Tribolium castaneum: one gene and its partner. The protein of the gene in region 1 binds, or shares a complex with, the protein of each later gene. Links are inferred from orthologs where the notes say so. Each region holds a gene or a part of one and is shown in the gene's direction. Other genes may lie near its edges.

The links.
Region 2: unc-112-related protein (region 1) and Ilk share a complex: the UniProt entries of both Caenorhabditis elegans proteins name them as parts of the integrin containing attachment complex. The link is inferred for Tribolium castaneum from reciprocal best matches to the Caenorhabditis elegans genes unc-112 and pat-4.

The regions. Positions count from the first base shown.
Region 1 is NC_087396.1:10,375,363-10,379,851, forward strand, and holds the start of unc-112-related protein, read left to right. Parts: upstream 1-1,434; 5' UTR 1,435-1,590; coding exon 1,591-1,732; exon of another isoform or gene 1,733-1,789; intron 1,790-1,836; exon of another isoform or gene 1,837-2,165; intron 2,166-4,489. UniProt on the Caenorhabditis elegans protein: Component of an integrin containing attachment complex, which is required for muscle development and maintenance. Probable regulator of cell-extracellular matrix adhesion. Required during initial muscle assembly to form dense bodies and M-lines.
Region 2 is NC_087394.1:5,466,163-5,470,449, forward strand, and holds the start of Ilk (integrin-linked protein kinase), read left to right. Parts: upstream 1-1,270; 5' UTR 1,271-1,523; coding exon 1,524-1,612; coding exon of another isoform or gene 1,613-1,616; exon of another isoform or gene 1,617-1,630; intron 1,631-1,736; coding exon 1,737-1,902; intron 1,903-4,287. UniProt on the Caenorhabditis elegans protein: Probable pseudokinase that acts as an adapter protein. Component of an integrin containing attachment complex, which is required for muscle development and maintenance.

The DNA.
Region 1 (4,489 bases):
TTTATTTAATTCCGCATCGAGTGATATAAAAAAATCATAAGATCTTTTTATTTTATTGATATCATAAGATGTCTCCTAATAGCAATATTATGATCTAATAATAGACTACCAGACTGGCTATGGATAAACTTAATTAATAAGTCTGTTAAGTCTTCTTCAAGACCTACATACTAATAATGTCGTCAAGAATGCACCGTTTCTATTTTTTATTGATTTTTAAAAAACATTTTTTTTTGGTTTTTATTTTTTTAACAGTAGTCCCTGAACCGATTAAAAAAATTAGGGACATGTAAGAAGCTAAAAAGGCACTAAAAAATATAGCATGCCATTAAAAAAATAGTATGAAGTCATACTTTTTTGGGACACTTTGTATAATCAAATATATTTTCCTGAAATACGTCCTCCTAGACTCCTAGAGTATAAAAACAACGTGTATAAAATATCAAAATTTCCAACTTTACTAATAACTGAGTTACAGAAAACGGGAGCTGAGCTGGGCAATTCTGTATACAGCCCGTATCAGAACTCGCTCCGCACCGGACAGGTGGGTATAGTTTAGGTAATTCTGAAGCAAAAGTTCTTTTATAAAAAGTTATCTTACAAACAAAGAATAAAAGACCTACTTTTTTGCATTTTTGCCATCTCCATCTCTATTGCTCTTACCATTAGCACCTTTCCGGTGGGTACATCCTGTGTTTTAGTGTAGGAGGATCCTGTTATTTTTATAAAAACTGAGGGATTAAAGCCTATATAAGTTTTTTTATTGGTAATTTATTTTGCTTATTTGAAAATCGCTGCTGTGTGTATAAATCCAACTTTGAAAAACGCGCATTAATAACCCAAGAAACGTGAAGAATAAATGTCACCTTTTTAATGATTTTTTTATTACAATGACCATCAATTCCATGACAACGAAAGGTATACTTATCTCACATTACATAATTTTTTTTAATATTAATACCAGTATTTATGATTTCAAAGTGAATAACTAGTCTTTAAAACACTTGCTTTATTTTGAGCACTTCGGCTACGCCGTCGCGTCGTGCTCGAAAAATCGCGCGTTTTAAAAACCCCAATATCCACTTATACTTTAATATGCTATATTACAATTTATAAAAAAAATCCACATAGTTTGGCGGAATCTTACGAAAGAATTCTAAGATAAATTATTGTGAGAACAGATATTTTTTTAAGCTTTCACCAAATACCAACAAAATCACATTTATGTCATCTCCGGCCAGTATTTTGAAAAATTTTTTTATGTTTAGGGGTTACAATTACTCATAGTACTCATAGGACACTCTCTAATCTGTGGTAATGGATTATAAGCAGAATACAAGTTTTTTGAATAATCTGGTGATATTTCGTTTAGACGATTGGTGACACTGTTCCATGACTTTCTCCCTCCACTTTAACAAGAGATAAACACATGAAGCACCGACCAATCACGAGTAGTTGTTCTTAGAAGGACCAAGTCACGAGACGATTCGGGTTTGCAGTGAGCCCCGCGTTGTAAACAATGTCGGAATAAATAATTAGAGTTTTATTATCTTATCTTAATGATAGTGAAGTGACAAGTAATTGATAATAATGATAGCGAACGGACAGATAGTGGGTGACGGCTCCTGGAACCTGCGGGTGCTAGTTACCGATTTGCAAGCGGAGCGCCAACTCCGAGTGAAGAGCGACTTGCACATCGGAGGAGTTATGCTGAGACTCGTCGAGGACTTGGGTCAGTATGTGAAGAATTCGATTCTTTTACAGTTAGTGCACCTGTTGCAAATAGTCGCTGGAATGCGGTTTTGTGGATTGCGCTGATGGTTTATTAATAAATACCCCACGTCTGTGCACTCGACGGCGCCTGAAAAAATCATCGGCCTTGGCCAATTTATTCAAATGTGCAAAATACGACGAATTTTTTCGGTCACTTATTGGGGAAATAACTTATAACCTCTAAAGGAAATGTAAAACGATCCAGTAGGCTGCTTGTTTAGGCGATCTGATTGGCGGACGCTCTGTGACGTATGAATTATTGTTTGGAGCCAGATGGTTGTTTCCATAAATGACACCAGTTTACATAATTATTTTATGGATTTTGGGCTTTCTTCACAATTTTGGACAAGTGAAATATCTCACAGTGATGCTTTTAGTTCTTTCTTGAAAAATTATTGTTAACCTTTTATGAAATCATTTTTACTGCTTATAATTTATGCCACATTGTTTTTCATGAAAATATCATAATTACGTCTGATCTTTATACTCTATTTATTTAACATTCTTCAAATTTGTAATTTTTTATTGTTTGCTTCCTACAATTAAAATTCTAAATTCTGTATTTTGTTTTTCAAACTTAGTGAGAAATTCAAGAAATATTCTCGAGATTCGTATACAGACTTTACAACATTCTACCTGAGACAAGGGATTTTGAAAATTTGCATGACAATAGGTGGGATTTCCGTCTTCAGGTGTATTATCTGTCATATTTGACACTTGTCACGTCATTAATAAAAATGTGTCTTTAATGTTTATTTTCTCATTATGCACCTTTAAGCTTAAGGAATAAATTACAAAGTTGTAATTTGCTAAGAACACAACAAATTGTCAATTTTTAAAGGTGAAAACTTATTTTTTTATTTTTATTTAGTCACGACCTCAAACCGCCGAAAAAATTCGAAGTTGTCGCAGGCTAAGTAATTTATCGATATGTAGTTTTTACATTTCTGGTGCCTTTTTTCCTTGTTATGAAATAAAGAATATAAAGAATCATAAAACATGTATACGAGGTTCACTTTTATAAAACCATTGTGGTACAAATAGCGTACGTTTGACATTAATTTTTATGAGTTGTCATGGTAACCGGCTAGTCATTTGCACCACAATGGTTTCATGAAAGTGATCTGAAAGTAGTATAGTATAAAATATTTAAAAAAAAATTCCCAAAAAAATTCACAGTTTATTCTGAAAATTAAAAAAATTAAATACTAATAAAAATGTAGAGAAAAATTCTTTCGCTTGTGTAACAGTACATAAAATAAAATTTCGAAGTTGGGAACTATTTAGTTAAAAGCTAGTAATTAGAAATCAGGTTTTTTGGTAGAAATAAAATTAAAAATGCTCCCTATTATTTTACCTTATAGTTTCTTATTCTTTGAATTGAGCAGTTACAAATACAGTTACAATTTAGACAAAAAAGTGGTTTACAACTCGATTATAACTTATAACGAATTGTTACGTTCAAGGAAACAATAAATATTTCTGATATTGCATGAAAATTCCAACAGACACAGGAACACACAAAGTAATCAGAAATTTTAAATGTTGCCACAAATTTGAAAATTATTGAATTGTTGGAAAACTTGTTAACATTAGGTATTATGTAAATGTATCTTTCTTAATAAATTAGATTAATACTTCTTTTGTGTATCTATTCCAAGCTTTAGAATTCACTTAACTTCAAAATTACTTTCGTTTAGAATGAACGATGTGTTGTAACGAACAAATTGTGAAGTTCCTTAAGCGTTTGTTATAACCGAGTTCTCCTGTATGTTATACCTAGTTTTTTATCAGGTCTTTGAATTAAATTTTTGAGAAATTTATTGGGCACCAATTCGCCACAAATTTTATCTGTTTCTTGCCCTCGTTTTGTTAGTTACGTTCTCCTGTTGAATTTTGGATCCACTTTTGTAATTTAAAAGAGTGATTATCGAATACTTGTGAACAGATATCATCATTTAAAGATAAAATCTCATGATATTGATAAAAACAGTCTACACTTAAGCAATATAACTGGTAAAAATCGGCTTCACGCTATAAAATTTATATGAGAAAGAACGGTTTTGGAGTTATATCCCAATTCAGTTCCAATGTAGAATTGCAACATCGCATTTGAATTTTTTTTTGAAAAATAAAGCACAAATTGAGAGTTTTAGTATTACAAAATAATTCTGTGTTAAACTAAATCCCAGCGACAAACTTTGAGTTAAGAAAATTCACCATAAACTCTCAATTTGTGCTCCATTTCATTTAAAAAAATGCAAAAACGCTGTTGCAAAATTCTACTATGAACTGAAATGGGATATAAAAGTTATTTTACGGAGACGTACAGATTGATTGGCAATAAATTTTGTATAATTTATTTGAAAATGAAGTCGAAGTTGAAAGAGGTTTTTCTTCAGTTTTAGTTTCAAAATTAAGGGGTCTAGTTCTGAATAAAGATCTTTCACCTTTTAGAAAACTTTTTTTTAGAAGCAAAAAGTGTTTTTTTTTTGCTGAAAATATTTGGAGATTCTACAGTTTCTTTAGAGTTAAAAAAATTAAAATGAAAGTATAACGTGCTTTTTTCTACTAACAAAAACAAATAATTATCAAATAATTACATAATAATGATTATTATTAGAATATGGATAATTAAACTGTTGAGTCAGGTCGGGTTATGCGCCGAATGGATTTTGGCTACTTTGCAAATTCTACTATGAATTTAATGGGTTCT
Region 2 (4,287 bases), on another chromosome or scaffold:
CGGCAGTTAATCGCGCTATAACGAGCACTTATTTTTAGGAAATATCGTGAAAAATCACACCAGAGTGCTTCGATTATGATTTTCTCGTCTTTTCAATAACTGTACCTATCCCGTAGTTATTTTCTAAAAATAAGTAACTTTGTGTATTATAGGTCTGAAGCAGTTTTCACACTGTTTGCTTTGAGCTGTGAGAAGCTACGTATCTTTTGTTGTATTTACACTGATATCTCGTTAACTTGTGTTATTGTAAATATTACGAAAATGACGAATTGTTAGTACAAAATTGTTGCGAAACTACTGCCAATTATTTATGTGATGATGTGTTGCTTCGAGGGCGGGCGGTCCGAGGGATATTTTTGTACCTAATGATTTTTTCCCTATCATTTTAAATACAACAGAAGATTTTTGTGTATATGTTATTTTTTGTTTATTGTTACAAAGTGATACGTTTATTATTTACTTGTTTTTTTATTTATAGACAATGTATTTCTTGATCGCGCGTCAAGAACTATTTTGTATAACTCGTGAAGGACATGAACTAATTACACTTTTTACACCTTCATGATTCTGTCAGTGAGATCATATTTTTGCAATTTTTTATTTCAAGACGAACGAGCGTAGTCTAGTAGGCGGGTTTAGTAATTTTCGTTTAGAGTGACCTGCGACGTTTGACAGGCAGTACCGCCAACTGTGTTTCAAGGTTCATGGCCACTCTGATCATTTTATTAGTTGTTTTGTTCCAAAGAAGCACATATGAACAATTGTTTTTCACTAACCAATTAGATTTTGTGGAAGTGTATGTGTAGTTTTGCAAACATATCGAGCAGTTTTTTGGCTGTTAAACAGTCTGGTGTGTATGTGAGGCAGTTGGTAGACTTGGAAATTTTATAGAAAGTATTAATGTTAAGCTTGTAGCTCTCTATGCACCTTTTTTTTCAAATTCGTTTAACTGGTGCAAATTAGCTAGATTATTTGTCTGATTTGTTATTTATTACATTGGTCTCGCTAACAGGACTTGTACATAATATATTTACTTCCAAAAATGTGTATAACAAAGTTTATTAAACTATGTGCTTTAACCCGTGTTTGGAACTCCCGCCGGCGTGTTGCCAACCTTTGGTAACTTCCCATTCCTTTTATGGTAAATTTTTAATTAATTTGGGGGCCCAATCTAACTAATTGTTACCTAACGGAGCGGGGGACAGTTTTTAGGACGTTACGTTTGATTTAAAATCCTTTAAAACAATTAAAAAATCAACTTTTTTATCCGTTTGGGGAATTTCAAGCGGCACGGTTGGCAACACGTCCAAATATGGCCGTCTGTTGTGTAAAAAAGTGTTTAGTTTTCCTCACCTAATTACCAAAAAAATCCTTATCTTATCAAAGTAATGCGGTAAATAGCTTCCGGATAAGCGACTGAACGCACTCATTATAAATAAAAACCAATTCTCGCGTTTTAAACACCACCCAAGTGAACGCCCATTTGCTGGTACAAGTGCCCCACTTTTGGGCAAATTGCCGAAATGGAGGATATTTTCCAGTGGTGCAGGGACGGGAATGCCCTCCAGGTGCGGGTTTGGCTCGATGACACCGAGCACGACATGAACCAGGGGTGAGTTGTGTCTTTGAGGTTAGTTTAATGGCATTGCCTAATTTGGTCAGTGGTGTGGCCGTGTTGTGTAATAATTGGGTGTGTGTGGGTTTGTTTGGTTTTTACTGATTGGTGATTGTCTTAGGGATGACCATGGGTTCAGTCCGCTGCACTGGGCGGCGAAAAGGGGGCACACGAAGATTGTGGAGATGCTCTTGCTCAGGGGGGCGAGGGTCAATGCCACCAATCGGGGGGACGATACGCCCTTGCATCTGGCGGCTGCACATGGGCACAGGGAGATTGTGCTTATGGTTGGTATTTTATTAATTTATTAATATAAGAGTAATAATAAGTCTGAAGACTTACAAGGTTGTCACTTTATCGTTTGACTTTTTACTAAAAAGAGTTGGAAAAAATTATCATCGTCACGGTTAGGAAAATTAAAAATTATTCCTCAACCATTTTTAGGAATTTTTTTTTATGTGCTTTTATAGAATGTGGGTTTTAACCTACTTTTTTTCAAGCGAATACACTATAAAAGTACAACAAATTGAGACGTAATCCGAGTACACGTTTCTCATTAGAAAGCAGTATTTTTTTATGTATCTAACAACTCAGAATGAGAAGGAAACCAAGGAAAAAGTGAAAAAATTATTGGCAAAAAATAAGAACAATCATTTGCTGAAGTTGAGCTTGCAAAAAATAAACAAAATACTTTAATTTTTTTGTTGTTTCTTCTAAATTAAACTATTATTAGCTCGCAATTTATTTAATAGTTATCTTATGTTAACAATAAACTGGTTAAAAAAATTTGTATTTTTTTTACTGAAAGTACTTAAACCTTCAAATAACATGCAAAATAAAATAACAGAAACCTTCTATTCCTATTAAATAAACAAGTCATCAATTTTTTGATTTATGTGTGATTATTTTTTAATCAATTGTACCTACCAAAAAAATAAAGAAATAAAAAGATAAATTAGTAAGTTGTGTAAAGTTATTTTGCAATTACTGATTTTTAGTTTTAAGTAGCGTTGTTTGTTTTATAGTAATGTTTAATGTGTTATTGAAGGTCCTAATAATTTTTCTCAATGATACTAAATTAGAATTTACAGTTGTCGCTCAATAAAAAATGCCTTTTACTACCTCTCCATATAAATACAATCTTTGATACTGAATTCATAAAACAATAATAAAAATAATAAATAAATTAAAATATGTAATTACTGATAAGTACATCGTTTTACAACTCATTAATTATTTAATAATAATAATAATAATATTATTATTTAATAATAAATGGTATCGATTTTATAGATGTTAACTTGTTTTCTTGAAAAACTTGTAGCAGAAAAATCATTTAAATTCGGATTGTAGAAATTTTGGGATTTTTAGAAAATTATAAAAAACAAAAACACTACGTGGAAGTGACAATAAATGTTTTTTACGAAAGTGTTTTTGGCTCTAAAATAAATCATTTTATTATTATCCGAAAACTTTTGATTAAAAATTATGAAGCTTCGTCTCTCTTAATTTTAAATGAGTTATTCTAGATATGTACTTACTTATGATCATAATCAACAAAAGTGATGAAAAAATTTTTCGATTATAATAAATTAAATGTTGAAATCAGCTGTTCCAGTTCTATTTTTTTATTTTTAATAAAATAATTTAATTACATTTTTCTGAACTTCTCATAATTCGTCATTTTAAAAATGTTTATTATGTTGATCGATTTTGTCAACTTTTTGAATAAAACGCCAATTGTCCATTTAATAAATCTAGTCTGATAATGGACAAATGTTGGGAGCTATTTATTTTTATTTGTTTTTTTTTATTTTAATTTTAATTATCTGAAAATTCTCGTGTAGATTGAAATACTCAGCACTTTTCCTAAAATACTGTTAACAAGATATAAACAAGGTCGGAAAAAATAGTCGACTACCGACTCAGGCACAATAATATCTTAAAAAAAAATTGGAAAATTAATTTTATGTAATACTTGAAACCTAGCATTTTTTGTTTAAAAGCCAATGTGTAGTGGTAATCCTCTTAAAAAAACAGCAATTTACGATGAAATCAACATTAGTTTTTTTACAAAGAATGTTTTAAAGAAACAATTTGCATCTATTGTTTAAATTGTTTATTTCATTCTATGCACCATAATATACAGAAAATAGTGTACTTTAATCAGGAATTCCACTCCAAATCATAAACATTTAGCTATTTGTATATCTATTACTAGTCAAGTCAAGCTATATTTCAAAACTACTATTTTTTTTGTTTTCCCATGACTTTGTTTAACTTGGAATCAAATTTATTTTCGTCATGGACATACTTTAAAAAAAATATGTTTATAAACATACTTGAAATTTTCTTAAATTGTATTTGACAATTTTTTTTACTAGTTCGGTCTATTTCTTTCGTACTGCGAGTGACGTTTTTTGTTTTTATCTTTTGGAGCGCATTTTTTTCACTAAACAATGAACAAATTTTTTTACATTAGGAGTGAAATAAATGGTAATTTAAAGGATTTTAAAAGAAAAAAAAATGAATATAAATATTTTCATTGTTATTTTTTTATTATTAAATAATAAATAAATAAAAAAAATTATTTATTTTTTTATTAAATTATTTTTTGATTCAGGCAATGTTGATCTCAAACTTCGAACTTGTAACTCTTAATTTATGCAGGA